Macaca mulatta: one gene and its partners. The main gene of each other region encodes a partner of the protein of the gene in region 7 in a complex. Links are inferred from orthologs where the notes say so. Each region holds a gene or a part of one and is shown on either strand. Other genes may lie near its edges.

The links.
Region 1: IQCD (region 7) and FBXL13 share a complex: the UniProt entries of both Homo sapiens proteins name them as parts of the nexin-dynein regulatory complex. The link is inferred for Macaca mulatta from reciprocal best matches to the Homo sapiens genes DRC10 and FBXL13.
Region 2: IQCD (region 7) and DRC1 share a complex: the UniProt entries of both Homo sapiens proteins name them as parts of the nexin-dynein regulatory complex. The link is inferred for Macaca mulatta from reciprocal best matches to the Homo sapiens genes DRC10 and DRC1.
Region 3: IQCD (region 7) and GAS8 share a complex: the UniProt entries of both Homo sapiens proteins name them as parts of the nexin-dynein regulatory complex. The link is inferred for Macaca mulatta from reciprocal best matches to the Homo sapiens genes DRC10 and DRC4.
Region 4: IQCD (region 7) and DRC3 share a complex: the UniProt entries of both Homo sapiens proteins name them as parts of the nexin-dynein regulatory complex. The link is inferred for Macaca mulatta from reciprocal best matches to the Homo sapiens genes DRC10 and DRC3.
Region 5: IQCD (region 7) and IQCG share a complex: the UniProt entries of both Homo sapiens proteins name them as parts of the nexin-dynein regulatory complex. The link is inferred for Macaca mulatta from reciprocal best matches to the Homo sapiens genes DRC10 and DRC9.
Region 6: IQCD (region 7) and DRC12 share a complex: the UniProt entries of both Homo sapiens proteins name them as parts of the nexin-dynein regulatory complex. The link is inferred for Macaca mulatta from reciprocal best matches to the Homo sapiens genes DRC10 and DRC12.

The regions. Positions count from the first base shown.
Region 1 is NC_133408.1:142,775,410-142,779,550, reverse strand, and holds the start of FBXL13 (F-box and leucine-rich repeat protein 13), read left to right. Parts: upstream 1-1,341; 5' UTR 1,342-1,404; coding exon 1,405-1,479; intron 1,480-4,141. Other genes in the region: ARMC10 (armadillo repeat-containing protein 10), read right to left, coding at 769-907. UniProt on the Homo sapiens protein: Substrate-recognition component of the SCF (SKP1-CUL1-F-box protein)-type E3 ubiquitin ligase complex.
Region 2 is NC_133418.1:98,552,782-98,556,860, forward strand, and holds the end of DRC1 (dynein regulatory complex protein 1), read right to left. Parts: intron 4,035-4,079; coding exon 3,805-4,034; intron 3,575-3,804; coding exon of another isoform or gene 3,523-3,574; exon of another isoform or gene 3,377-3,522; intron 2,557-3,376; coding exon 2,413-2,556; intron 2,073-2,412; coding exon 1,970-2,072; intron 753-1,969; coding exon 696-752; 3' UTR 501-695; downstream 1-500. UniProt on the Homo sapiens protein: Component of the nexin-dynein regulatory complex (N-DRC) a key regulator of ciliary/flagellar motility which maintains the alignment and integrity of the distal axoneme and regulates microtubule sliding in motile axonemes.
Region 3 is NC_133425.1:85,499,618-85,503,117, reverse strand, and holds part of GAS8 (dynein regulatory complex subunit 4), read right to left. Parts: intron 3,223-3,500; coding exon 3,055-3,222; intron 2,711-3,054; coding exon 2,624-2,710; intron 1-2,623. UniProt on the Homo sapiens protein: Component of the nexin-dynein regulatory complex (N-DRC), a key regulator of ciliary/flagellar motility which maintains the alignment and integrity of the distal axoneme and regulates microtubule sliding in motile axonemes.
Region 4 is NC_133421.1:19,565,256-19,568,755, reverse strand, and holds part of DRC3 (dynein regulatory complex subunit 3), read right to left. Parts: intron 3,136-3,500; coding exon 2,961-3,135; intron 1-2,960. UniProt on the Homo sapiens protein: Component of the nexin-dynein regulatory complex (N-DRC) a key regulator of ciliary/flagellar motility which maintains the alignment and integrity of the distal axoneme and regulates microtubule sliding in motile axonemes.
Region 5 is NC_133407.1:1,021,875-1,025,374, reverse strand, and holds part of IQCG (dynein regulatory complex protein 9), read right to left. Parts: intron 2,465-3,500; coding exon 2,303-2,464; intron 1,134-2,302; coding exon 1,059-1,133; intron 1-1,058. UniProt on the Homo sapiens protein: Component of the nexin-dynein regulatory complex (N-DRC), a key regulator of ciliary/flagellar motility which maintains the alignment and integrity of the distal axoneme and regulates microtubule sliding in motile axonemes.
Region 6 is NC_133419.1:119,883,260-119,887,309, forward strand, and holds the start of DRC12 (dynein regulatory complex protein 12), read right to left. Parts: upstream 2,801-4,050; 5' UTR 2,756-2,800; coding exon 2,543-2,755; intron 2,245-2,542; coding exon 2,172-2,244; intron 1,746-2,171; coding exon 1,671-1,745; intron 603-1,670; coding exon 483-602; intron 1-482. UniProt on the Homo sapiens protein: Component of the nexin-dynein regulatory complex (N-DRC), a key regulator of ciliary/flagellar motility which maintains the alignment and integrity of the distal axoneme and regulates microtubule sliding in motile axonemes.
Region 7 is NC_133416.1:120,462,522-120,466,754, forward strand, and holds the start of IQCD (dynein regulatory complex protein 10), read right to left. Parts: upstream 2,801-4,233; 5' UTR 2,689-2,800; intron 1-2,688. UniProt on the Homo sapiens protein: Component of the nexin-dynein regulatory complex (N-DRC), a key regulator of ciliary/flagellar motility which maintains the alignment and integrity of the distal axoneme and regulates microtubule sliding in motile axonemes.

The DNA of each region.
Region 1 (4,141 bases), on a different chromosome or scaffold from region 7:
TTAGAATTCTTCTTGCTATCCCATTAGCAAATTGCCCGTGATGCTTGAGACAATCTAGTTTGTGCTTACTCAACAATGACGCTGTTTAGTTCTCTTCTACAATTGTGGACAGGAGTTTCTTGGATGGCAGATATGTTATTTTAAATTATTTCCCTAACGGCTTCCATGATGTGAAACATGCCTCTGGAGGGTTTTACCGTACCGATCAACTTTTGGACAGAAACCGAATCTGGCATTTGTCCGCTGGGAGGGTGTGTCTCGCGCAGACAACTGTTCCCATTTCCAAAACACACACCAGGCTGGGAGGTCTTGGACCACTGTGACTCCCAGGTACCTCCCCTCTGAGGCCGGGCCGAGCGCCCGCACAACTGCCCCTTTGACGTCCCTTCTTCCAGGACACTTGCAAGCAGAGCTTCACTTATGGCTCCGGGCCCCTCAACAGCCCTTCCACAATCGGCAGAATCCCTTTAATTACACAAAGGCCCGGAACAAGCTTTAAAGTGAGAGGCCATCAACAGGCTTTTAAGAAACCTAATCCTCCACTGTGGCGCAAAGCTCAGGCAGGAAAGCCAGGACAAGTTTTCATATCAGGATAGTGAACAAAGAATGGGCGGCGGGGGCGGCGCAGCACCATGCACCCACACAAGTACTGCCTCTCCCTCTAGCTCGGCTCCTCATCTTACCCCGAGGACACGCAAGCCACCACCCAAGCCCGGGAAGCCCCCCTGCCCAGTCCCCGCCCACCTGCCGGGCACCCCGCGGTCTCACCTGCAGACTTGGAAGGGCGCATCCCGAGCTCGCGGTCGCCCCGCCGCCGACCCCGGGTCAGTCTGTAAATGCAGTAGCAGGCGCCGGCGCCGAGGAGCAGGCCCGCCGCCACCCAGCCCGCGCCCCGGGGGCCACCCATTCTGCAGCCGCGGCAGAGCCGCCGCGCTGGGCCAGGGCAGGAGGCTCCTGGGGGCCAGCGCGGAGGTCTCCAGATCACGCGGGCCTAGCCGCCACAACAAACCGCGCGCGACCTGGATGTGGAGAAAGGAAATGGGGTCTGAGCTCCGCCTCCCGGAAACGGCTCAGCTCAAAGCCTATAACCGCCCACTCCAGCGCGGCGCCTCCCGGCGGCTTCTCCCAGGCGAGGCGGGGCGGGGCGCTGGACGCCAGGAGGGGAGGCTAGGACGGTGCGCCCCACGCGGAGACGCCGGGGCCCTGAACCCGGAGCCGAGCTTCCCGTCGCTTCTCCTGTGGCATGAAGCAAGCCTCCCTCCCTCCTGCCCCGGGCAGCGGAGCGAGGGGCGGTGCCGCGTCCAGCCCCGCCCCCTGGTTGCCAGGACAACGCCCGCACGCACCCGGCTCCTAGTCCCAGCGCGGGGAGGGTACCAGCGCAGCTTCTCCGTCAGGCCTTGGGCCATGGCCTCCCTACGCAATGCCAACCCGAGGCTGAAGAACTACTTCAAGGAGAACTATATTCCTCAGGTCTGCGAGGTACTGGACACGCGTGGCGGCGGACACGGACCGACGGTGGGGAATTAGAAGGGGGAGGAGTCAGGGAAGACGTCTCGGAGGAGGGACTAGGTTTAGGAGTTGAGGGAGGAGGGAGAAGGCGGGGCGGAATGCGAGAAAGTGAAGTCAAACTCGGACTTGTAGGCGATCTGGGCTGAAGATGCTGATCAGAGAGAAGACAGAGGGTGATGGTAGCTGCAAGTGGGGAATGGGTCACATCTCCCAGGGGAAATGAGCACAAGGCCCAGATCGGAAACCCCAAACTCAGCTTTTAAGGTTTGAACAAGAAGTGCCTGAGGAGTGGAGGAGTGAGAAAGAAATGCCAGAGAGGCTGAGGAGGAAAATCAGCAGACTGTCATTATGAAGAGTGTTGTCAGAAGTAGGGAGTAGGCTCTAGTCACCTAAGATAAGGACCTGGATTCTGCCCAAGGTGAGCCTGAGGTTTCCATGGAGCCGTGAGTGCAGAAAATAGATGGAGGTTAGCTGAGGGGAGAGTGGAAGCTGATACCTTTGGTCAGTGTAGTCAGCCCTTTGTGAAGGTAAGGACCCTCTCAACCGGGATTGCCTTTAGACAACAGGAAGGGCTACCCTTCCACCCCCATTGTAATAGGAGGGAAGGAAGACAGGAAGGGATAGATACTAGGTTTTGTAGGTTTTTGGGGGTTGGAAGCTGAGAACGTTTGCCTTTGTTGACCTCTTTTTTTCTCTACAAATAGTTGATGAGATATTTTCCAAGAATGTGCGTGTTTGAGTGGGGATGGGGCTGTTGGTGCAGTAGGAGGTTCGAGCAAAGATACGCTATGCGGGGAATGAGGAAGAGAGATGTCTAGGGAAGGAAAAAGGAGGTCCCAGCTGAGGGTAGTAACGATCCTAGGCGGTTGGGAGGGCAATTTGGTAGAGACCCCCGTCTCCTTTTTGGATGGCAATTGAGAAATATTTATTAAAATGTTAAATACATGTACCCTTTAACCAAGCATTTCCACTTCTAGGGATCTACTTTAGAGAAATACTTGCACATGTGTTCAGAAGGATGTACAAGGATGTTCATTATAACTTTGTTTCATAGTAGAAGTAGTAAATGACCTAGAGTGACTAAGCGAATGAGGTATTATGTAGAATAAAGTATATCTGTACCTACTAAGAAGAAATGCCCTCCAAGACATATTATTATTATCGAGACACGGGGTGTTGGTCTGCCACCCAGGCTAGAGTGTAGTGGCTCCATCCTAGCTCGCTGCAGCCTCAAACTCCTGGGCTCAAGCCATCCTCCCACCTCAGCCTCCCAAGTAGCTAGGACTACAGGCATACACCATATGGCTGGCTCCCAACACATATTATTAAGTAAAAAAGAAAAAGTGCAAGTTGCTTAGCAACTGTCCATTCTGCTCTAGCTATCTGATTTCATGTATGTTGTATATGTGTTTATGTGTACATATATGTGTGTGTATCTATCTTTAAGACAATAGTGCATGCATAGAACCTATGCCAAATTGTTAATAACAGATGTCTTGTGGAATGGTTTTGGGGGAGGAAACGGGGAATTCTAACTTTTTGCTCTACCCATAGCTGTATTGTTTTAATTTATTATAGTGAGTTTCATGTTGTACCTCTATACAATTGTGCTTGAAAATATGTAGGGAGAATGGTACCCATCTTCCCGGTTGTGTGATTTTTGTCAAGTAGCAGTCAGTAAACCAGATGTAGGTACAGAGATAACCAAGTTGACTTCGTCTGGGATAGGAATTTGCCAGGCATATGTTAATAGAATAGAAAGGCAGTAGGTTAGGGAGCTAAGCTCCTGAGTATCTGAAGTGATGGGCCAAGGACTCTAAGGACTCAGTGGGAAATGAGAAAAGGATATGATACTGATATATGTACAGAAAATGGAGACTCCTAAGAGGTGAGTGAAGAGAAGTAGAGGGAGTAATTAAATGAGGGAGCTGGAAACATAGGAGGTGGGGGTCAGAAAGTGGAATGTTTATATTTACAATTCAGGGTGCGGCCATTCTGAGTGGTGATTCAGTCTGTGATATGGCGGTGCAGCAGGTGGAAGAAACAGACTTGAGTTGAGGGTACATCAAGGAAATGGTGGCCTCTTCTCATCTAGCCTGCCAGTTACTATAACATCACAAAGCTGCAATGAGGCAGTCCCCAGTTCCCCCTCTGGGTGAGAGCGCTCCTGGCTTGCCACATTGTTCTGCACCCAGAGAGGAGGCCCTTATATGCATTCCCCATTGTCTAAGATCATATTCTCCTGAGAAGTCCTTCACTCACCTCTGCTACCACACTAGCAGCAAGAACAAGGGAGCAGTCTTCTGGGCCCCACACACCCACCTTAAACTCATTACCTATTTCTCCTAAGAGACTATCAAGATGAATTCCATTCTGCCTCATATCTATTCTGTCTGTACATTTATTCATCTGACTCAATTTCCCAGATGGGTTTTATACTTTTTTTTTTTTTTCTTTTTTGAGATGGAGTCTTGCTCTGTCGTCCAGGCTAGAGTGCAGTGGCGCCATCTCGGCTCACTGCAACATCCACCTCCTGGGTTCAAGCGATTCTCCTGCTTCAGCCTTCCAAGTAGCTGGGACTACAGGCACCTGTCATCATGCTCAGCTAATTTTTGTGTTTTTGGTCGAGATA
Region 2 (4,079 bases), on a different chromosome or scaffold from region 7:
AGGCTGGTGGATTCCGCACCAGCAGGGCTCCCGTGGCCTTTCCCCTTCAAGTGGCCTCTGATGGCCCAGGGTTCAAAGCAGATCTCGGGCACAGGGCTGCCCACCCAGGCTGCCCACAGGAGGAGTCTTACACTATACCCCAAAGGTTACACCAGCCTGGGCCCAGGGGCCCCCAAAGCACCAAAAGAATCCTTCAGGTCTGGGGCCAGTCTGAAGACTGAAGACTCCACAAGGGCCCAAAAGCTCCAGCCGCCACCCATGGAAACCAGCTTCCCCTGAAAGCAAGAAAGGAGCCCCACGCCACTGGCCTCAGCCTCTGACTCACTCCACAATCTCAGCCTGGGGCAAAGTCCCCTCATGACACAGAGGTAGGGGCAAGGGCCTGGTCTTGCTAGACCTGCCCTCTTTAAAGAGATTCAGTCACAACTTTTAAAAGGCTTAATCATAGTGCAGGACACAGGTAACTCCTCTGGCTCCTTATTTCAATAGGATTCAGCCACAACTTTTAAAAGGCTTTAATCATAATGCAGGACACAGGTAACTCCTCTGGCTCCTTATTTCGACAGGCTATAAAGACAGCCCTGGAAAATCCAGAGAGCCGGCCCAGGTGCGTCCCAGTGGGTGATATGAGCTGGCTCCCGCATAGACACCAGCATCAGGCCAGCCCTAACACATCAGCCTTTGGAGTTCCAGCTCTATTTTGTGGGTACCCGCAACACCTGAGTGGGAGGAACTTGCAGTTCCGAGTTGATCTGGAAAAGGAAGGGTGAAGGTCATTAAATTTTCCCCAGGGCCCTCCTTCCTTTGCCACCCCTGCGAGCCACGCTGGCTCTCCCATGGGCCTCCGAAGCCCTGCATGCATCTCCTCTCCAAAGCTGAGAGACGCTGAGCACCCACAGGCTGCCTTCCTGCAGGAGACACGCCTGAGCCTTCTTGCTCAGCTTCTGCTCCAGCTGTGACCTCTGCTAGCGTTCTTCATCTCCCACCCATCCATTCTCTGCAATCTTCCCCTTTCCTCTCTCCATGCACCCATGCCATCCCCAGTCTAGCCTGCGCCACCTCTTCCTCCCCAAGCCTCTTGTACACAGTAGCATCTGTGGAAGCAGGAACCATACTGTCCAGAATGTCTGGGTCCTGTCACAGGCCAAGGGTCATTATGAGGCCAAGGCTCACTACAACATCCCCCTTTCAGCTGTTGCCTGGGACCTGGGACTGTGCTGGGGCCACACAGCCCCTGTGGCTGGACTTGGAGCTGGCTTCAGTCACCTCACACGTGTGCAACTAACAGCTGTGTCATGACCTTCCTGGCCTACAGCCCCAGCCGCAGGCACCTCCACCACAGAGCAGGAAATGTTAGCAATGGAATTTTTCCTTCCTCCTCTTGCCAGGCCATGGGGAAGTTGCCCACAACTATTGTGGGGGTGGGCACAGATGGGGACCAGGGAATATCTGCCCCAGCAGAGCCTCCTCCCTCATGTGAGGACGACCCTCCAGTCACATCCCAGGCAGGGAACCCGGGCTGGCGGGTGGAAAGAGCCCAGGCTCTGGATGAGTTGCAAACTCTCCAAGTTGTGATTGTCCTTTCTGTGAAATGAGGAGCATCGTTTCCGCCCTGTCCACCTCACACAGCGGGTGTGAGGATGGAAGAAAGCACAGCTGGAGGCTCTGTAGCTGGGGAGCTGCTCCTGGCTGTGGCACTGCTTCACACAGAGTGGTCCCAGCAGGCCACTGGCACCAGAAACCACGGTATCAGACACTGTCACACCTGAGCTGTCCTGGAGGAGACTTCAGGCAAGATCTACTCCTTTAGCCAGTAATTGTCTCAAGGTGTCACTGTTGATTTTTTACATCACGTCGCAAAGCTCCCTTGCCTCTGGGCGGGAGGGGACTCCTCATTCCCTAATCCCAGCTCCAGTCCCCCCGCCCCACCCATCTCCTGCCACCCCTCGTTGGAAGGCCCGCTGCCCACCTTGGAGTTCAGATACTGCTGCAGCAGCGCCTGCAGCTCTGTGTTCCGCTGCTCCAGAGAACTGTTTTCCAGCAGCAGCTTGGCCCTCTGGGTCAAGACAATGCTTTGGACAAAAAAATCAGTTAGAGGCTCACTGAATCCTCCATCCTCTGCCAAGTAGGGGCCAGGGTCTTGGTGTTTCTGCTTTGGCTGCAGGTGGAGGGAGACTCCAGAAGCTACACGCTTCACCCAGCCGCCAGGTGAGCCAGGTTAGCAGGAACAGAACAGGCAGGCCAGGGCCCAAGAGCCAACCGCCCCACATGATCCACCGACACAGGAATTGCCAAGGGCAGCTCTTCCCTCCCAGGTTCGGTGGGACAGGGGGGCAGCAAACACGGCTGCTCCCAGCAACCGTTCCTCACCTGCCCACCAGCACCCTCCTGCTCCATGACATGCACACTTACTGGTACTTCTCCAAGGCTGTGTAGAGGGCATCCCAGAGGTTCTGCTTGGAGGAAGGGATTACCGTGGTCAGGGCCTGCCAGTACTCTGAGTCCTTGGAGTTGTTGCGCATATTCTTCTGCACTCTTGGCGGGGCCCGCGAGTCCCTGAAGGCCAACAACACTGTGACTGTCATGTCCATTGGGTACTACCCAGGCCCCCAAGCAGTGCCAGTCACAGGCCTACTGCTTTCCCACCTGTCACCTTCCCACTCAGCAGTCCAAGTTTATTAGATGGTGGCAGGTTCTCAGAAAGGACACAGTTTATTAGATGGTGGCAGGTTCTCAGAAAGGACACAGTTTATTAGATGGTGGCAGGTTCTCAGAAAGGACACAGTTTATTAGATGGTGGCAGGTTCTCAGAAAGGACACAGTTTATTAGATGGTGGCAGGTTCTCAGAAAGGACACATGCTTATCGTCAGCGTTCCTGCCTCGGTACCACCGGTACCTTCGTGAGGGCATGATCAGTGCTTCATCCACCCCTCTCTCTCCCAGTCAGTTTACCTCACTGCTTTACAGCTCATCGCTGTGCCTGTCTCTTGCACCAGCGCATCCAAAACAGTACTGGAATTCAGTCATGGCCTCTCCATCCCGCCATGACAGCCTTTATCTGGAGGATCCCCACCTCCCACCTGGACAAGCCTCCTGATGCTCTCCCTGTATCTGGCTTCGCCCCTTCCCTGCCGCCACAATGATCTCTCTAAAATACAAGGCTAATCATGGCTCTTCAGCTGCTTCAAATCCTTTTCTGGCTCCCACCACCAATGGGTAAAGACAAAGATCTTGGGCACATTGGGCAAGGCTCTCCAACACCTGGCTGGCTCCCCACCCACCAGTGCCACCTCCCAGGCCCTTGACCCACCAGCCACACCTCCTGTGATGATTCTTGAACAGACCTGACCTTCCCCATGCTGCCATTTCCTGAAATGCCCTTACCTCCATTTTATCTGCCTGGGAACACCCAGTTCCGGTGCCATTTCCTCCCAAAACCCTCTCTGACGTGCCAAATGGAAATGGCCATTTCCTCCTCTGAACAACGGTGCACCTTGAATGTGCTTTGACCATTGCTCTGATCACAAGGCAGTGTCCCCACAGTGCTTACACATGGCAGCCTTCAATGCATGTCTGCTGAATGAATGATGAGTGAAAAAAAGCACAAATCACTACTACGCCCTATTGCTTTCCTGACTCTGTCCAGTGATTGGTTGCCCTAGCCTGCCTTCAGAGAGCCCTGTCCTTAGTCCTCGTATCTTGCCCAGCGCACTCTTCTCCACTCACTGACTCTGCCTGGCTCCCCAGCCCACCCAGCTCCCCTGGCTCTGGTCTCAGGCAAGCCTTCCAGCCCCGCAGCCCACCTAGGCTTTTTCAGACCCATGACAAAGGCCTCCAGAATCTTGAGGACATCATTGGGGTGGATGTCCCAGGGGGAGGGTGGGGTCTCCTCCTCTTCCTCCTTCTCCCCTTCCACCAGGCTTTCTTCCTTTGCTCCCTCCATCTCCGTCTGCTCTGCCAGCTCCAATTCTGACCCCATGCTTGTCTCCTCCATGCTCGCCTTCTCCATGCTCGCCTGACTGCAGGACTTGATCTGGAGAAAGATGCAAGGACAACTGTGGGCTGGGGACACACGAGC
Region 3 (3,500 bases), on a different chromosome or scaffold from region 7:
AGGCCGAGGCGGGCGGATCACAAGGTCAGGAGATCGAGACCACGGTGAAACCCCGTCTCTACTAAAAATACAAAAAATTAGCCGGGCGCGGTTGTGGGCGCCTGTAGTCCCAGCTACTCGGGAGACTGAGGCAGGAGAATGGCGTGAACCCGGGAGGCGGAGCTTGCAGTGAGCCGAGATCGCGCCACTGCACTCCAGCCTGGGCGACAGAGTGAGACTCCGTCTCAAAAAAAAAAAAAAGTGAACACCCTGAGCAGGGCGCAGTGGCTCACGCCTGCAATCCCAGCACTTCGGGAGGGTGAGGTGGGTGGATCACCTGAGGTCAGGAGTTCAAGACCAACCTGGCCAACATAGTAAAACCCCATCTCTATCAAAAATACCAAACATTAGCTGGGCATGGTGGCAAGCGCCTGTAATCCCAGCTACTCGGGAGGCTGAGGCAGGAGAATCGCTTGAGTCCAGGAGGTGGAGGGTGCAGTGAGCCAAGATCACGCCATTGTACTCCAGCCTGAGCAACAAGAGCGAAACTCCATCTCAAAAAAAAAAAAAGTTAACACCCTTAACCCCAGTTCCCAGAGGCCACCCACCATTGTGAACACTTGGTGTGACCCCTTCCAGAATGTTCTCTATACATGTAAAAACATTTATGACTGTTTGGAAGAAAACAGGATCATGCTAAAATACTGCAGCTTTTTTCAAAGCACGACCTGTGATACCTGGAGCACCTCCAAGACAGCACCTGGCCCTGTACCCCTTCTAACTGCTGTTAATTAGAATTCCCCAGATTTGCTTAAATCCAATTCCCTGTCCGCAGGCACGTGGATTATAAGTGCCTTTGGGCCGGGCGCGGTGGCTCATGCCTGTAATCCCAGCACTTTGGGAGGCTGAGGCGGGCGGATCGCAAGGTCAAGATATCGAGACCATCCTGGCTAACATGGTGAAACCCCGTCTCTACTAAAAATACAAAAAATTAGCCGGGCATGGTGGTGGGCACCTGTAGTCCCAGCTACCCAGGAGGCTGAGGCAGGAGAATCACTTGAACCCAGAAGGCGGAGGTTGCAGTGAGCCGAGATCGCGCCACGGCACTCCAGCCTGGCGATGGAGTAAGACTCCATCTCAAAAAATAAAAATAAATAAGTAAGTGCCTTTGGTCTCTAAATTTTGCTGACAAATTTGAGCTCCCAGTTCTCTAGGAAGAGACATGGACTTTGACACTGTCAGGAACCACATTCAAATGGAAGAAAATACGGCAGGGAACAAGACTCCAGCCCAGGTACGTCTCTGCTCTCCTCTTCCCAGTAATGTCCACCTCAAAACTCACAGGGAGGAGGAAGGGCCCCTAACACAGCAGTCCTCAGAGTCTCACTGGGGCACCCTTCCCTTAGGTGCCAAGAGTCGGCACAGCCTAGCAATGCACATCAGGTAGGACCTGAGGTGTCTCCGACAGATGGGATGTTTCCGAGGGGCGAATCCTACTACAACCGTTTGTGTTCATGAATTTCAGTTAGGCTAGAGAACACAAACAGCACACGTAACTGCAGCTCAAGATAAGATGATCTGGCCACGCACACCACACACAAAGCCTTGAGGGCCCCATGGTGCAAGGATTGGTCCTTGGCCAGAACTTTGAAAATCAACAGAGGCAAGGAGTCTCTTTGAGGGACAAAGACAGGACCAAGCATCCCTACCACTCACTGGCAATCTCGGAAGGGCACACGAAATGAAATGTTTTCCCCCCAGACTCTTCTGCAAAGGTTTAAACCTGTCAGATCTGGTGCAGCTGAGGATGGAGACGGCCCCTCCGCACCCTGGCAGGTGTGTGACTCAGAGCAGCCCTCTGGACAGATCAGAACCCTCAACACAGACCCCTCAGACCCAACAATCCCACTGCTAGGAACTGGCTTTCCTAAGAAGCAATCTCACACAAGTGCACAAAGACAAATTTAAAAGGATCGAGGCAGCAATGCTTATAACAGCAGAGGATTAGAAACAGAGGGGAGTCAGCTAAATGATCAAACATTCATGAAATGCAGCACCACGTGACTGTGAGAAGGATGAAACGGCTTCCTGTGTGCAGCCTGATACACTGTGAGATTAAAAAGCAACTTGTGCTTATGGCCTGATCCCGTGTTCATAACACACACAGTCACATCCACACTAGAGCATGCAGGAAACCTGGAAGGGAGCTCATAAAACGCGCCAGCGTGAGGAGCTGGAGGCTCATTTTCACTTACACTTAAGACCCCATGACTTCTTTACAATGAGAAGGTAATAGGTTAGCACTTAGAAACATAAACCCATGGAAGAAAGGAGTTGCTGCAGGGGCCAGGCATCCCTCATGTGCTTTGAGAGGTGAGCGCTTGAGGGGCCGAAAGTCATGTGTGATCTGCTCCCCATGAGACCTCAGGCCTTCTGCAGGATATGCATGCGGAATAGGCCAAAGGTTTTTGCCTCTTAGAAGCTGTGGAATGAGTTACAGGGAATAGGGCCCCCAGCTTCAGAACCCAAAAACCTGGCCAAGGTATCTGAAGCTGGTCCAGGGGCCAGGGCCACAAGGAGAGCCCCGTCCCTGGCTAGCAGGGGTGCCACCCCCCACTGCAGGGCCAGCCTGGTGCCCACTCACCTTGGTGAACCGCTGCTCTAACACTTCATGCTCCCACTGCAGGTCTTTCAGCTCTTTCTCTGTGACTTTCAAACGGGCTTTTGTGCACTGGAGGAAAAACGGAGTAGGGGACAGAAAGTATTCAAGATTCACAGTCATCCAAGTAACACAGGCTCCTGGGAGATGGCAAGGCCAAAAATAATCACCAGAAAGACATGGTTCCAGGACACAAGCAGCTGAGCCCCATCAAGGCAGGTCAGTAGTACACGGTGGAAGATGAGGGCCTTGTCTCCAAAACACCCCCAGACTTTACTTTCCCCAGGAGAACACAAGGCAGAAAAAGGAGAAATGCAGGCCTCCCCCGTCTCCCTTCCTGCCCCTGTGATGCTCCTTCCTCCTGAGTCTAGGCTAACTCGTGCCAAGGAGGGAGAGGAATCCAGCAGGAAACTCACAAGCAGGATCTGCTTGTCCCTCTGGTAGTTGGCGAGCTGCTTCTGCATCTCGCTCATCTCCTCCCGAGCCTTCTGGAGAGGGTCTGCCAGGCGCTTGTTCTGCACAGACACCTCTGCCATCTCCCTCTCCAGGTGGTCCTCCTTCTTCCGCATGTCCTCCATCTGCTCCTGCAGGCACAAGCACAGGCCCAGCAGGGGCTCAGCAGGCAGAACCAAAGGGGCTGTGGCCTGCAGGGTGAGAGCTGGGTGCTCTCCTGCCCATCACCAGATCCTGCCAGCCTCAGGCATGCTAGCACCTAGACCTGTTCTATGTATAAACAGTATTTCTGCAGCTTCAACGTATTCGGAGTTTTCTGGGAATGCAGCTTCCATGCACACTGAGGGACTACACTTTATTCAAGATTCCACCAAGGGCCGCTGTCTACTGTAGAAAGTCCTGTCACTGC
Region 4 (3,500 bases), on a different chromosome or scaffold from region 7:
AAAGGGAGAGAGAAACCAAAAACCAAATAGAAAAGTGGGCAAGGGCAAAATATAAGTACAAATAATTCACAGAATAAGAAACACAAATGGTTGTAAAACATGTATTGCTCATCCCCACTTAAGAGAAAATAAATGCATACTCAGGGTGCACAGACTGGCAAAATGAGGAAGCCCGTGACACTGGCCTGACGATGGCTGTGGAGGGTAAAGGTTCTGTGGGTTACAGGTGGACAATAACCATGAAAAAAAACAATGCACAGTTTCCACTTTTAGGACTTCATCCTGCAGGTCAAACTTGCACCAACTTATTCAGTGGAACACTAAAGAGCAAAAGGTTGGGGAAAAACCTAACTGTCCATCAACAGGGACTGGCTAAATAATTACGGCTCACCCACGCAATGTGATATTTTAGTTATAAAAAAATGAAGTAACTTTTTCATTTTGGAAGGCTCTCCAAGATACCTAACATAGGAAAGCAAATTACAGAACAGGGCAAGCTATGCACACACACACACACACATACACAAGAAAGCAAAGTATAGAATAGGGCATGCTATGCTCACACACACACACAGGAAAGCAAAGTACAGAACAGGGCATGCTATGCTCACACACACACACAGGAAAGCAAAGTACAGAACAGGGCATGCTATGCTCACACACACACACACACACACACACACAGGAGTAGGAGGGAGACCGTATCCCCCGGTGGCCATTGTTCTGTCTGTGCCATGTGCACACACCACCCATTCGAGAGTGCAGCTGACTACACACAGACGTGCTGTCATCCTTTTAGGCTGACTGCTCCAGGCCTTGCACAAGTGCTTTCCCTCTCTGTCTCTGTTTCTCACTACAGTTCTTCCAGGTGGTTATCTCTGTTCTGCACATGAGGAAATGGAGGCTAGGAGAGGGTCCATAATGGATCTCTGGGTCACCAGTGAGGAGTCTGCCTGAGCCCCAAGCCTTACATGGCTGCACCATGACCCTGAAACGTGGCTCACTGGGCACCTGGAGCAGCGCATGTGCAGTGGATGAGGCCTAATGGGGGTGAGTGGGAGGAGTGTAGGAAAAACTATAGGAGAGGGCCTGTCAGGGAGGGAACTGGGGGTCTGCAGGGCCTATGGGGTCTTGGGAACTTCTAAGTCAGTGGCCTCTATCTAGGCTGTGCATGGAAAGCACCCGTGGAACAATGGAAAATCCCTGTGCCAGGCCACGCCCCAGTCTAAGTGGGTGCTGCTGGGCCTGGATGCGAGCACATTTCCAGGGCCCGGGGACTCCACATGAAGGCTGGGCAGGATCCACTGCTCTTGGCTCTAGAAGGGGAGCACTAGGGTAGTCAGCTCGTCCGAGGTGGCCTTTGAGGAGCTGGCCCGCACTGAAGGCAGGTGCCTGAACGGAGGAGCAAGTGGCACGTTCCATGCTCCAAGTCAGGCTTGGCATGGCCCACATCCTACTTCTGCAGAGGGACTCGCTGCTGAGGGGCTGGGTCCCTGCACCGGGCCTCAGGAAGCACCGGATAGCTGACACTCCCAACCCCAGTGGCTACAGGGACCAGATAAATGTCAGGAAGAAAGGCTGGACAGGGACTGGGGGGACTGGAGACATGACCTGTCCAGAGGGGACAACTGCCACTCAAGCCCTGATGACAGCTGCTTCCAGAGAAGCTGGCAACCACAAATTTTTCTGCGAAATCTGCTAGTTTCTAATGTCAGCAGGATGTTCAAAATGTTTTAAAACCCTACACAGGCCAAATAAAACACATATGTGAGCCAAATGTATTCCTCCGCCGACAGTTTTGAACTTCTGGTTGAACACAGTAACCCCTGCTCCCTAAAATATAATAAGGAGGGTCTTGAGAATTAAATCACACAGCATGTGAGGCCCTGGAGGTTAATGAGACAGGAATGGGGGTGGCCGTGGGGGAGGCGGGAAGCACCTGGGAGTGGATCATCGACTCCATCAGATCTGAACTTGCGCATCGAGGGACTTTGCTCTACTTTAAGTTCACAAGAAGGAAGGGCCTTATGGGATTCCTAAAGCCCCTTATGCTACAAGCAAGCTTGGTGTGTGTGAACAGTTTTTGGAGGAAAAAGAAGGTCCACAGCTTTCCTTAGCGTCTCAGAAAGATCTGTGATTTACAACAGGCTAAGCATCCTGTCTTTAAAAGTAATGCCAACTCAAAAAGGCAGCTGCCATCAAATACAAAGACTGGTGCCCTTCCCAATGGCCTCTGCTTGGGCTGGACCCCATGGCCTGGTTAGGCCGAGTCCTGACCACCCAGAGCCTTCTCCTTTGCTGCTCCTAGGGGGTGGAGGAACACCCTTCCTCTCCATCAACTTTTCTTTCTTCTGTGAGCCTCAGCCTTCCCTAAACTCCCCCGCCTGAGATAAGGTGCCCCTAGGGCACCCCGAAGGCTCCCCAGGCTTCCCTCCAGGATGGCACTGATTCCTCTGCTTGCTCAGGTCAGGGCTGGGGCCTGGGCCTGGGTCTGAGCCCCACAAGAGCAGGAACCATGTCCAGTGTGGCTCTAGCTTCCTAGGAGCAGGCAGAGAGTAGAGCTCAGAAAACGTCTATTAAATGAATGAATGAATGAACAAAAGGACGGTAATCATTACCGTCAAAATAGTAATGGTAATACTAATACTGTTATTAATAGTAACGATGATGATAAGTTCGGGGATGGAGCTGACCTTGAATCCCAAGGGCGCTTTGTGTGACAAAGATCCACAGGCCACACATCAAGTGGTGGGGAGCTGTAGTTGGTGGGGCTGGGGTAAGGCAGGCCTTGGCTCTGCCACTGATTAGCTGTGTGATCTCTGGCAAATGGGGACAATAACCATTGGCCTCAGGGGTCATCAGAGGGTATAGGAGTTGCAGCCCCTCTACAGTGGGGGTGGCAAGAGCAGGGAGGGCCTCCAGCAGGAGGCAGGGAGGGCCTCAGGAGGCTCGGGGCCTACCGACAAGTGCTTCTCCTCGAACTGGGCAATCTTGCGTTTGCCCTGCTCCTGGTTTTCCTGGATAGCCTCGTGGACACATTCACTGAAGGTGTCAAGCTCTATTTTCCGCTTCTCCTGCTGTTTCAGGCCATACTCAAAAATGTTCACGCAGATGATGACAAACTTGTCCTTGTAGGTGAGTGGCCGTTAAGGAAGTCCACAGCTGTTTCAGGAGCAGGCTGCAGAGGGCATGGCAAAGGTGTTGGTAACCCTGGCACTGTGCGCTCAACAGTGTGTGGGACTCAAACTCCTGGTCTCATGTGTTTCATTTGGTGGATGAAGAAATCAAAGGCCCAGAGAGCCAGGACTGAGATGTGGGTACAATGTGTGTTTGGTGCGTCCCCACCCTCAGCCTGAGGGATTCAGGAATGGGGCCTGTGCGAAGGAAGGAGGCAGGGACCATTGGGGAATCTATAGAGCAGAAGGCAGACATGCTCAGAGAGGTCCCAGAAGAGAGGCCTAGGGAACCTGGGGGTCTGTGAGCTGGTCTCAGCTGGGGAA
Region 5 (3,500 bases), on a different chromosome or scaffold from region 7:
ACTGGGAATGTTATTTTTATAACGTAAAAAATTAGTAAATCTTTTTTTTTTTTTTTTTTTAGAGACAGAGTCTCGCTCTGTCACCCAGGCGGGAGTGAGTGGTGTGATCTCGGCTCACTGCAAGCTCTGCCTCCCAGGTTCAAACGATTCTTCTGCCTCAGCCTCCCGAATAGCTGGGATTACAGGGCTGCATCACCACGCCCGGCTAATTTTTGTATTTTTAGTAGAGATGGGGTTTCATCATGTTGACCTGGCTGGTCTAGAACTCCTGACCTCAGGTGATCCGCCGGCCTCGGCCTCTCAAAGTGCTGAGATTACAGGCGTGAGCCACTGCACCTGGCCTTTATTTTTCTTTTTTATTTATTGGCCACTATACTAATGGGAAAACATTTTAATATAGTCATAATTAAAAATAATTAATTTTAAAATTATGTCTTTTTTTTTTTGAGGCGGGGTCTTGCTCTGTTGCCCAGCTGGAGTACAGTGGCACAATCTCAGCTCACTGCAGCCTCTGCCTCCCAGGTTCAAGCAATTCTCCCACCTCAGCTTCCTGAGTAGCTGGGATTACAGGTGCCTGTCACCACGCCTGGCTAATTGTTGTATTTTTAATAGAGAGGGGGTTTCACCATGTTGGCCAGGCGGGTCCCGAACTCCTGACCTCAGGTGATCCACCCGCTTCAGACTCCCAAAGTGCTGAGATTACAGGCGTGAGCCACTGTGCCCGGCCCATAAATTTTTAAGTCATAATTTGACTTACTAAATTTTGTCATAAATTAAGTCATAATTTAAAAATTATGAGTATACAGCAATATAGGAATCAAAAAATTTCTTATCTAAGCTCAATGATAAAAGCGGAAAACAAAATTTTACTTGTACTCTCTCAGATTGTAACTATATAAGATATCTATTCAGATGCACAACCCTGAAATAACATGTGAGCTCAAGCTCATTAGGCTGAAAGAATGATGGCTGGTTTTTCTTCAAAATATTTTTTTTGTTTCCTCAGTATGAGCAGAGTACAAAAAGACTCAAAGCACAGAAAAGTTTTGGTGACCCACCTGCTGCTGCTTTCTAAGGAACATTTCAATGTCCATATGAATCCGGGCCTCTTCTTCGGTTTTCATCCTGAGTTTCTGTAAGAACAATAATCAGACATCAGCACGTCTTCCCTGCAGGGCTGTGAATCAGAAGTTCTCAAGATTAGAGGAGCAGCTTGGTCGGCAGCTCAGGTTTCCTTTACCAGCTGGGATGCCGGGAATTCAGTTTCGTGCAATTCCTGTTCACAAACACCGCAGAGACACATGACGCGGCACTGTCTGGACTGTGTTAGTGTCCCTAACGAAAGGTGCGCAATCCCGTGAATTGAAAAGAGGTGCCCATTGAAGGAGAGAAACGGTGCGCCAAGGGCACAAGGCTGTGGGGCCTAAAAAAGGGAAATTCCAGAGTGCCAGGAAGACTGTTGTCGTGGCCTTAAGCCACGTTAGTCTCAGAGCAAGGAGTCCTCCCACACACAAATTCCATGGTCTAAGGACGTTTGTTCCTTCTTCCGTCTTCCCATCTGCCTGCTGCTCTTTGCGTGTGTGTGTGTGTGTGTGTGTGTGTGTGTGTGAGACAGAGAGAGAGAGAGAGAGAGAAGGGAGTCTCCCTATGTTGCCCAGGCTGGCTTCAAACTCAAGGATCCTCCTGCCTCCCTTCCAATTAGCTGGGACTAGTGCCTGGCTTTGTGTATGTGTGTGCAGTGTGTGTGTGTGTGTGTGTGTGTGTGTGTGTGTGTGTGTGTGCGCGCGCGTGCGCGCGCCATTTCGCATTCCCCTCAAAGAAGATCTACCACTTTCTTCCTCCTGATATTTTTCACCATGACTTCTCATCTCCATAAATTCAGGTTTGAATGAAGTTCACCTCTCAAGATGCTGTATTTCTTACTGGAGGAGTGAAAAGTACTGGCTAGATAAAACAAACAGCAGCAAAATCCTGCCATAACTAAGGATCTTGTTTTGCCCTCTCCCTATAATTAGAGAAATGGCGATTGGTTTGATAAAATAAGAAGTGACCGAGGAGAGAAAGTACAGCCAATTTTCAAAGTCATTATGAGGCAGGAGAAGGAGGCTACAGCCCGTTGGAATCTCCGCTTGCGAACATGTGTATCCTCATTTAGGCTTCCATTTTCAACCTCAAGTGGAGGGGCTGTTGCCGAGAGAGATGGAGGAAATCTTCATCTCCCTCCTTTGTTAGCTGAGACAGGATCAGGAGTGACAGCTCAAATGCCATCTCCTGGGTTCTTCACTAATGTCCCAGGGATTACCTCAATCTCTTCCAGCAAGACTTCCTCTGTTCTGTTACACTTTCTCTGGGTCTGGGCAATCTGCAGCTCAGTATTGGTTTTCATGTAGCGATTCTCCAAGTTGGATTTTGCTTTCATCTCTTGCAGTTGGTCCTTGAGGTTAGCAATATATTCATTCTGACTCTGCAATGGAAAGACCAGGTTTCTAAATTGAAAATACATTCTACCGCCATTCAGTTCAGCCAGTGGCTTAAGGTTCCCTTTTATAAGTGTAAATCAATAAGGAACGGGAACTAGTTTTCCGCTGTCACACAACGGGAAATTTAGCCAACAATCATGCAGAGAGGAAAGTGAGTAATACAGCAGTTCGAAGAATCAGGGCGAATCAGGGCGGAGATTAGTTCCCAGGCACATTACTGGTATGTCCATATTTCCCACACAGATTTCTCATTTTGGTAGGAAGAACACTGGTCAAAATGATGAAAAGAACTGACTTCCCACCCAGGCCTCCAGCTGTGTGAACTTGGCCTAGTCAAATCTCCAACTTTTTTACTTTCTATAAAACACACACACACACACACACACACAACACCCACCCTGACTGAAGTATCTCAGAGATTATTAGGTTTCATTGAGAACACGTGTGAAAACGCTTTCTTTTTGCAGGTCACCAAGTGCTTGGCAATTGCGAGGACTCAATAGTCATTAAGAAAAATATTTATTCAGCACCAGGCTGAATATTTATTCAGCACCAGGCTCTTCCTAGAGCTAGGCTCTAGGAAAATCATGGAGATCTAAACAGACATATTCCCTGCCCTCATAGAGCTTACAGTCTAATAGAAGAGAGGTGGTTAAAAAGAGACAAACACATGTGTAAACTTTCAAAAATTGTGCAAAATGATAGAAAAGGAAAGCTTGACAGGCTGTGGGAGGAAATAACAAGGGAGGAGTCCATTCGACTCTGGAAGGCCTGAGAGGGACTCTCTCGGGAAAGTGATGGTTCATTCGATGTACATTAGACTCTGGAAGGTCTGAGAGGGACTCTTGGGAAAGCGATAGTTCATTCGAGGTACATTAGACTCTGGAAGGCCTGAGAGGAACTCTCTCCAGAAAGTGATGGTTCATTCGATGTACATTAGAGTCTGGAAGGTCTGAGAGGAACTCTCGGGAAAACCATGGTTCATTCGAGGTACATTAGACTCTGGAAGGCCTGAGAGGA
Region 6 (4,050 bases), on a different chromosome or scaffold from region 7:
TGACCTCGTGATCCGCCCGCCTCGGCCTCCCAAAGTGCTGGGATTACAGGTGTGAGCCACCACTCCCGGCCCATGGTCTTCTTGGTTCTTTTTGTGATTCTGAGAAGCTAGAGACCATGAAAACCTGAGGAAGGGAAAGGAAGCCCAACCCACCTCCCCCACCGTCCAGCTTTGGATGGGGATGCTAGTCCTTCTCCCCTCCCATAGGATGGTTGAGGTGATGGCTATGACTGCATGCGTATCCTACACAGCATCAAGCACATGGCACCAGGCATCCTGGCAGGCCCCTGCCTGGGATCCCAGGAACCTACCTGCCTTTGATTCCTGCAGGATCCTGCCTGATTTGTACTGTTCGGGGAAGACCAAGACCAGGCCTGGCAGTTGGAAGCCCTCCTTGTTTCCCTTCCTTGCATCATCTGACCCTGCTGGTTGTCTTCCTCCAGGCCCCTGTCTCCTGCCCACCTGCTCAACAGACCACACACCTGCATATATGGCCTTCCCTTCACTTCGGGCCCCTTCCAGCTCAGCCTCCACCCTTTGCAGCCTCTGCTTCAGCTGGTCTTCGGAAGCCTTGGCTCGACGGGCTTCATCCCTCCGTAGAGCTGTGAGCAGTCCCAGAGCCACTGTCAGGACTGGCTGGGGCCCGCTAAATCAGCCCCCATGAACTTGATGAATTTTGCCCGTCTCTAGAAATCTGGTGGCGGGGCGTCCAGCCTCTTATTCTCTCTCTGGGTTTTGTTGTTTTTGTTTTTTATCCCTAGAGTCTCACAGGCTCCTCATTATTAAGAAGTAAAGACTCTCTCCATGTTCTGCCTATACAAAATAGCTTTCCGGATAGCCCGGCATGGTGGCTCATGCCTGTAATCCCAATATTTTGGGAGGCTTAGGTGGGAGAATTGCTTGAGGCCAGGAGTTTGAGACCTGCCTGGGCAACAGAGTGAGACCTTGTCTCTATAAGAAAAATAAATAGGGCCAGGCGCAGTGGCTCATGCCTGTAATCCCAGCACTTTGGGAGGCCAAGGTGGGAGGATCATGAGGTCAAGAGTTCGAGACCAGCTTGGCCAACATGGTGAAAACCTGTCTCTAATAAGAATACAAAAATTAGCCGGGCGTGGTGGCTGTGTGCCTGTAATCCCAGCTACTTGGGAGGCCGAGGCAGGGGAATCACTTGAGCCTGGGAGGCAGAGGTTGCAGTGAGCCAAGATCACGCCACTGCACTCCAGCCTGGGCAACAGAGCACAGGACTCTGTCTTAAAAAAAAAAGATAGTAAAATAAAATAAAATGAAATAATAAAATAAAATAAATTTTAAAAAAGAAAAATAAATAAATAAATAAAGTAGCTAGGTAGGGTGGTGTGCACCAGCTACTCGTGAAGCTGAGGTGGGAAGATTGTTGGGGTCCAGGAGTTTGAGATTACAGTGAGCTATGATCACACCACTGCAGTCCAGCCTGGGCAATAGAGCAAGATTCTGTCTAAAAAAAAAAAAAAAGCTTCCTTTATCAACTCTCACTGCCCACCCCTCTCTCATTGTCTTTTTCCACTAGGGGATGGTTAGGGTTCAACTTAGCCCCCCACTGTATCTCCAACTCTCCAATCCCCCAGGATACAGAAATGCCCCATTTCACTTGCCCTGTTGCCCACCCCCATGCCAACTTCTACCCTCCTTACCCAAGTGATCTCGGAGCAGCTCCTTCTCCAGCACCACCAGCCTGTGCCTGGACTCAGCCTCCACATCTGCACCTGCTGTGGCAAGTGGCAGAGCCTCAGCTCTTCGTGATCTCAGCATTCCTCACTCTCCTTGCGTCCTCACCCCACACCCTGCACTTTTGCCACAGGAGACCTGAGGACCACTAAATGAGGGATCCATGGTGGCAGAGTCTACTGAAGTCAGCACTGTGTCCTTACCAACCAGCACATAACAGATATGCAAAATACACATGACAAATATATTAGGAAGGCACAAAGCTAGATGGTGCTTAAAGGAGAGCGTGAGTGACCATTTCCCCACTTCCTCAGCTCCCTGCATCTGACTTCAAGGACACGAAAGAGGAAGGTCAAGAGAGTTCCATCCTGTCATGTAGAAGGCTGAATTCTCTCTGGAGGAGCTCTGCGTGGTCTTCATGCCAGAACATGGAGAAGCAGGGGGCACCTCCACCCACCATGACTCACCCCAGTTCTTTTTCTTCTGCGCCCCAGATTTCTTCCCTTTTTCTTTGTTTTTAAGTGGCATCTCCTTGCTGTCCTGGGAGAAGGAGGGGACCTTATGTTTAGGTCTGGACACAGGGATGCTTTCCTGACTGAATCAGGAGTCTCAGGGGAGTCTCCTGGTTCTACTCCAAATTTGTATCTCATACTCTTCAGAAAAGTCAGTTCACAGTCTCTTTGGAACCTCAGGCAGGGTTGGGGTCAACGGGGAGGGTGAAGTTTTTTCTCTCAACCAGGCTGACTGTACGGAAGTCACTCCTCACAACTCTCTTTTAGATAAATCCCTGTACCTGCTCCCCTCCCTCTTCCCATCATCCTCAACCCCCTCTTCCTACCTGTAGGATCCTCTCCTGCCAGTGTTGGGGCTCCCTGTGGAGTGACCCACCCGTGGGGAGTGGCAGAGAGAAGGCCCAACTAGCGAGGAGCCTGAGGCGGGGCCTGGGTCCTGGGAGCCAATCCTTGGTGACAAATTTCTCTTGAGGGCAGGACTGAGGGCTGGAAGGTTGGGTTTCGGGAGGCTGTATGTTGTCCAGGCAACTGGGAAACATGGAGTTCGTAGGAAGGTGGAATGGGCTAAATCAGCTCACAAAGCTTAAAATATCAAGGTCTCAAAGGGTCAGTTCTTTCCTTATCCCAAAACCCTAAGTATAGTTTGAAAAGAAAGGGCTTTGGAGGCCGATTGGTTATGATTCATTGCCACGTAGACATGGCCTGCAATTTGGAGACTTCCAAATTCAGATGTACACATCTGAGATAATATGTTGTGCTGATACAGAGGAAAAGGACTGACAGTAGCCATGTTGGACAATTGACATCCCGAGGTCCCATCAGCAAAATGACATTAGTAGGTTTAAAACTGAAGATCTAAGCTGGGGGCGGTGGCTCATGCCTATAATCCCAACATTTTCAGAAGCTGAGGCAGGAGGATTACTTGAGGCCAGGAGTTCAAGACCAGCCTGGACAACACAGTGAGACCTCATTTCTACAAAAAATTAAAAAATTAGCCTGGCAGGGTGGTGCACACCTGTTAGTCTCAGCTACTCGGGAGGCTGAAGCAGGAGAACCACTTGAGCCTGGGAGGTTGAGGCAGCAGTGAGCTATGATTGCACCACTGCACTCCAGCCTGGATGACAGAGGGAGACCCTGTCTCAAACAAACAAACAAACAAACAAACAAAAACCCCAAACCACTGAAGATCCTCTTCAGTACACTGTGGAATGAGGGTAATAAGTACAGGAATAGGTAGTCGAGGGCGTTTCCCACTTCAGAGAAATGAGACACAAAGGAACAGCAGACCCATGGACTCTAGGGTACTGACCTAGAGGGATGCAAGTGTGCAGGAAAGTGCTCAGGTTAGAGACAAGACATTTGAGTTTGAGTCCCAACTGTGGATATGTAAACTGAGGCAAGCCATTTGACTTTGCTCAGCATCAGTTTCCTGATCTTTAAATGTTTGATTTTGTAGCTCTTGAAAAGCCTGTGTTTTAGCTAGGTGTTTACATGGCTATCTTCTCTCCTAGTTACTTAATCTATTGCTACATTTCCCCATTCCCTTGTGTGGTTGATTTTCAGACAGGTGTTGAGACATTGCTTTGTGAGGCTCCCTGCAGCATAGAGTTGGTTGGGGCTCCCTCTAGTGGACTTGTTTGACCTTCTCCTGAGTTTCCCACATTTTTGCTTTTAAATTATTTACTGGGCAATATTGGGGGTGACTCCCTTTGGGGATACTTCTTAGTGTCCTGCTGGAGCCAGGAGTGGCTGGAATAATTAATGTGGGGGAGAGAGTATGACGGGTGGCCCTCCCTTGTCAGGCAGCCTTCACTCTCCCTGCAGCTCTGTGCTA
Region 7 (4,233 bases):
GGAGAATTGCTTGGACCCGAGAGGCGTAGGTTGCAGTGAGCTGAGATTGCACCACTGCATTCCAGCCTGGGCAACAGAGAGGGGCTCTGTCTCAAAAACAAAACAAACAAAAAACAGCCTATCTCAAACCCCTCCTGCTCTCAGGCACTAACGTATAATGTTACTTTATGTCAGAAACCAACTCCCCCATGAACAATTTCTCCCTGGATTAACAATTTCTCATTCTTTAGGTCTTAGCTCAATGGCTACCCCTTCTCAGACAGGAACACACAGCACTTTACAACCTGTGGAAATTCTCTCACCTTTCCTGCATGGTACTAACCACGCGTGTAATTTTTTTTTTTACAGCTCTATTGAGGTGTAATTTACATTACCATAAAATTCACCCATTGTAAGTATAAAACTCAATTACTATTTTTGTAAATGTATCTAAAGTTGCCACATCAGTTTTAGATACAATCCTGTTTTAGAACATTTCTATCACTCCACCAAATTCCCATGAGCTAATCTGCAAACGATCTCTGTTTCCACTCACATTTTTTTGTTGTAGTTGTTTTGTTTTTGAGACTGAGTCTCGCTCTGTTGCCCAGGCTGGAGTACAGTGGCGTGATCTCAGCTCACTGCAACCTCCACCTTCCAGATTCAAGCAATTCTCGTGCCACTGCACTCCAACCTGGGCAACAACACAAAACTCCATCTCAAAAAAAAAAGAAAAGAAAAATCGTAAAGCTCAGATCAAAATAATGAAATACTCATTTGCTTTTTTTTTTTTTTTTTGAGACAGAGTCTCACTCTATTGCCCAGGCTGGAATGCAGTGGCATGATCTCGGCTCACTGCAACCTCCGCCTCCTAGGTTCAAGTGATTCTCCTGCCTCAGCCTCCCAAGTAGCTGGGAATACAGGGGCCCGCCAGCATGCCCTGCTAATTTTTGTATTTTTAGTAGAGACGGGGTTTTGCTATGTTGGCCAGGCTGGTCTCGAACTCCTGACCTCAGGTGATCCACCTGCCTGTGCCTCCCACAGTGCTGGGATTACAGGCATGAGCCACTGTGCCTGGCCTATGTTTAACTTTTTAAGAAACTGCCAACTATATTTCAGATTGGTGGTACCAATTGGTATTCTGCTGTACCTACCAGCAATATATGAAAGCTAGTTTGTTTATTTATCTACATGATGATATTTGGGATTGTCTTTTTGATTTTTAAATGTCTACTCAACTCTTTTGCCCATTAAAAAAATGGAGTTGTCCTCTTGAGTTATAAGAGTTATTTTTATTTTCTACATACAAGTCTATTATAAGACACATGAGATTTGCAAATATTTCCTCCATGTCTGTGTCTGTGGCTGATCTTTTCATTTTCTTACGAAAATATCTTTTGAACCTCAAAGTTTTTCTTTTTTATATATTTTTTTGAGACAGGGTTTTTCACTCTGTGGCCCAGGCTGGAGTGCAGCAGTGCAATCATGGCTCACTGCAACCTCCGCCTCTTGAGTTCAAGCGATTCTTCCACCTCAGCCTTATTTATTTATTTATTTATTTATTGAGATGGAGCCTCGCTCTATCACCCCCGCGGGAGTGCAGTGGCACCATCTCGGCTCACTGCAACCTCCACCACCCGGGTTCAAGAAATTCTCCTGCCTCAGCCTCCCGAGTAGATGGGATCACAGGCATGCACCACCATGCCCAGCTAATTTTTGTATTTTTAGTAGAGACAGGGTTTCACCATGTTGGCCAGGCTGGTCTCAAACTCCTGGCCTCAGGTGATCCGCCGCTCGGCCTCCCAAATTGTTGGGATTGCAGATTGAGCCACTGTGCCCAGCCCTCAGCCTCATTTAATCATCACAAGAAACTCTCTATCTTTAGTAGGTACAAAGAGATTACATTTTAAGGACGGAGATGGGAAATAAATTCCAAAGTTAGGACAAAGGCCAAAGTGGTATAATAAAAATTACCTAATTTATTTATTTATTTGGGACAGAGTCCTGCTCTGTTGCCGAGGATGGAGTGCAATGGCGCGATCTTGGCTTACTGCAACCTCGGTCTCCCGGGTTCAAGTGATTCTCGTGCCTTAGCCTCCCGAGTAGCTGGGATTACAGGTGCACCACCATGCCCAGCTAATTTTTGTATTTTCAGTAGAGATGAGGTTTCACTATATTGGCCAGGCTGGTCTAGAACTCCTGATCTTTAGTGATCTGCCCGCCTTGGCCTCCCAAAGTACTGGGATTACAGGCGTGAGTCACCGCGCTAGGCAAAAACAACAACAACAAAAACAAACAAAAACTACCTAATTTAAACACTTAAGTGAGATGGCCCGCTCACCGAGGAACGTATGGTCGTTGGGTGGAATGGGAGGGGACTTATAAACCCCCCTCCCACCCACAGCTCCCATGTTTGACTTGAAATAAGTTAACTACGATGTGACTCTGCTTGACTGGTGTCCTCGTCGTTTTAGGGATGAGGGAGTGGGGCCATGAAGTGGGCAGGTAGAAGGGGAAGAATGGAGGCCGGCTCCCTGCAGGCTGTGGAGCCAGAGGTCCAGACTGAGGCAGGGGCTGAGGGACGGGGTCCTGAAGCTGAGACGGGATCGCAGCGGGGGCTACCAATTTCTCAGGGAGCCAAAGGACATCGGGCTGAACCCCATTCCACATCTCCCCCGATCCGCGACCCTTTCCCACCTGGTTACTCACCCGCTCTGACGGCTCCAGGTTTCCCTAGCCACAGTTACCGCCGCAGTCCCAGCGTTGCGAGGTTACCCGCCAATCTCAGAAGGCGGGACTCTGTGTCTGACTGACCTTTCTTTTCACCATTCAATTTCTTGTTCCGCTCAATTGTCCCCACCTCCTGAAGTCTGACCAATCAGAAGCACCGCCATTTTGACCTTGCACCAATGGAAAGACTTGGGACTCCCTCTGGGTTGGACTCAACGATTAAGGCGGGGAAGATGGGAGGAGAAAGGGGCGTGGATTCTTCGTCCCGCCCCTTCTTAAGGAGGCGGGCAGGGAGTACTGCCTCGGCTGCGGGCGAGACCTGCGGAAAGACGTGAGAATTGACCAATCAGAGCTCATCATGGTAGCCCAGTTAGCCAGTAGGACGCTGTGAAGGGGAAATGGGGCGGGGCGAGCGGGGTTGAGAGGACGGTAGGCGGCGGATGGGAGAGCTGGCGCAGCTACCCTGGTGGCGGTGGCTGAAGTGGCGGCGGCTGCGGCGGCTGCAACAGCTTCGGGCTCGGGGTTTTGGCGGCGGCGCCGGCGGGCTGGGCTGCGTGGTGCGGACCCCGGCGCGCGGTCCGGGTTGCTGGGGCGGCGCGTGTAAGAATCCGAGGGATGCGAGGACTTGGCCAGAGGGAGAGGGCAGGGATCAGGGTCAGAGGGCGCGGAGTAAGGGGTTGCGGCGCGACACTCTGGTGTGGGAGGTGGACTGAATGGGCCCAGAGAGGGCGCGGGGAAGTCTCCGCCGCGCTTCTCTCCGTCCAGCCCGGGCCGGGGCTTTGCACCCTCTCTCCTTGCCCCCGACTTCTTGGGGCGACCCTCACGTGGGCACCCAGCCAGGGGCTGGGAGCACGCGGAGCTGGAGCCAGCGCTCCTGCCTCCTTCTTGCTCCCTCCCTCGCTCTTCTCCCTGGCGCCCTCAGGTGACCCCGCAGGAGTCTCGTGCCCGGGTCAGGCTGCCCGAGCGGACAGCGGCATGGCAGCTGGCCCTCTTCCCCTAGGCCCTTTCCCCAGGGCTGGCCATTTGGGTCCTCTGTAGAGGCAGAAGCAAAGCCCGCGGAGGGAACACTGGACCAGGACTCAGGAGTCCCGGGTTCTAGCCCCGCTCCTGCACTGTGTGACCTTGGGCAAGTCTCTTCCCCTCTCTGGACCTCATTTTTGTCTCGCTGGACAAATGACGTGTTTGAATTCAAATCAGGGTACTGGTTCTAGTCGTAGGTGTATATAGGGTCATGGTTAAGCAGGAAGGTTCCCTGATTCAAACTACCTGGGTTGAAACTTATAAGAGGCAAGTTAACCACTCCAAGATTCAATTTCCTCATTCGTAAAGTGGGGATATTAGCTAAGATAGGATTTTTCAACAGCAGCTCAATTGACATTTTGAGCCACATAATCCCCCGACTCCACCCACCAGCAATCCCCTCACTCCCAAGTTGTGACAAAGATGTCTCGAGACATTCCTGATGTCCCCGTGGGGGCAAAAATCACCCCAGTTGAAAGCCAATGGGCAAAGACAATACAGGCA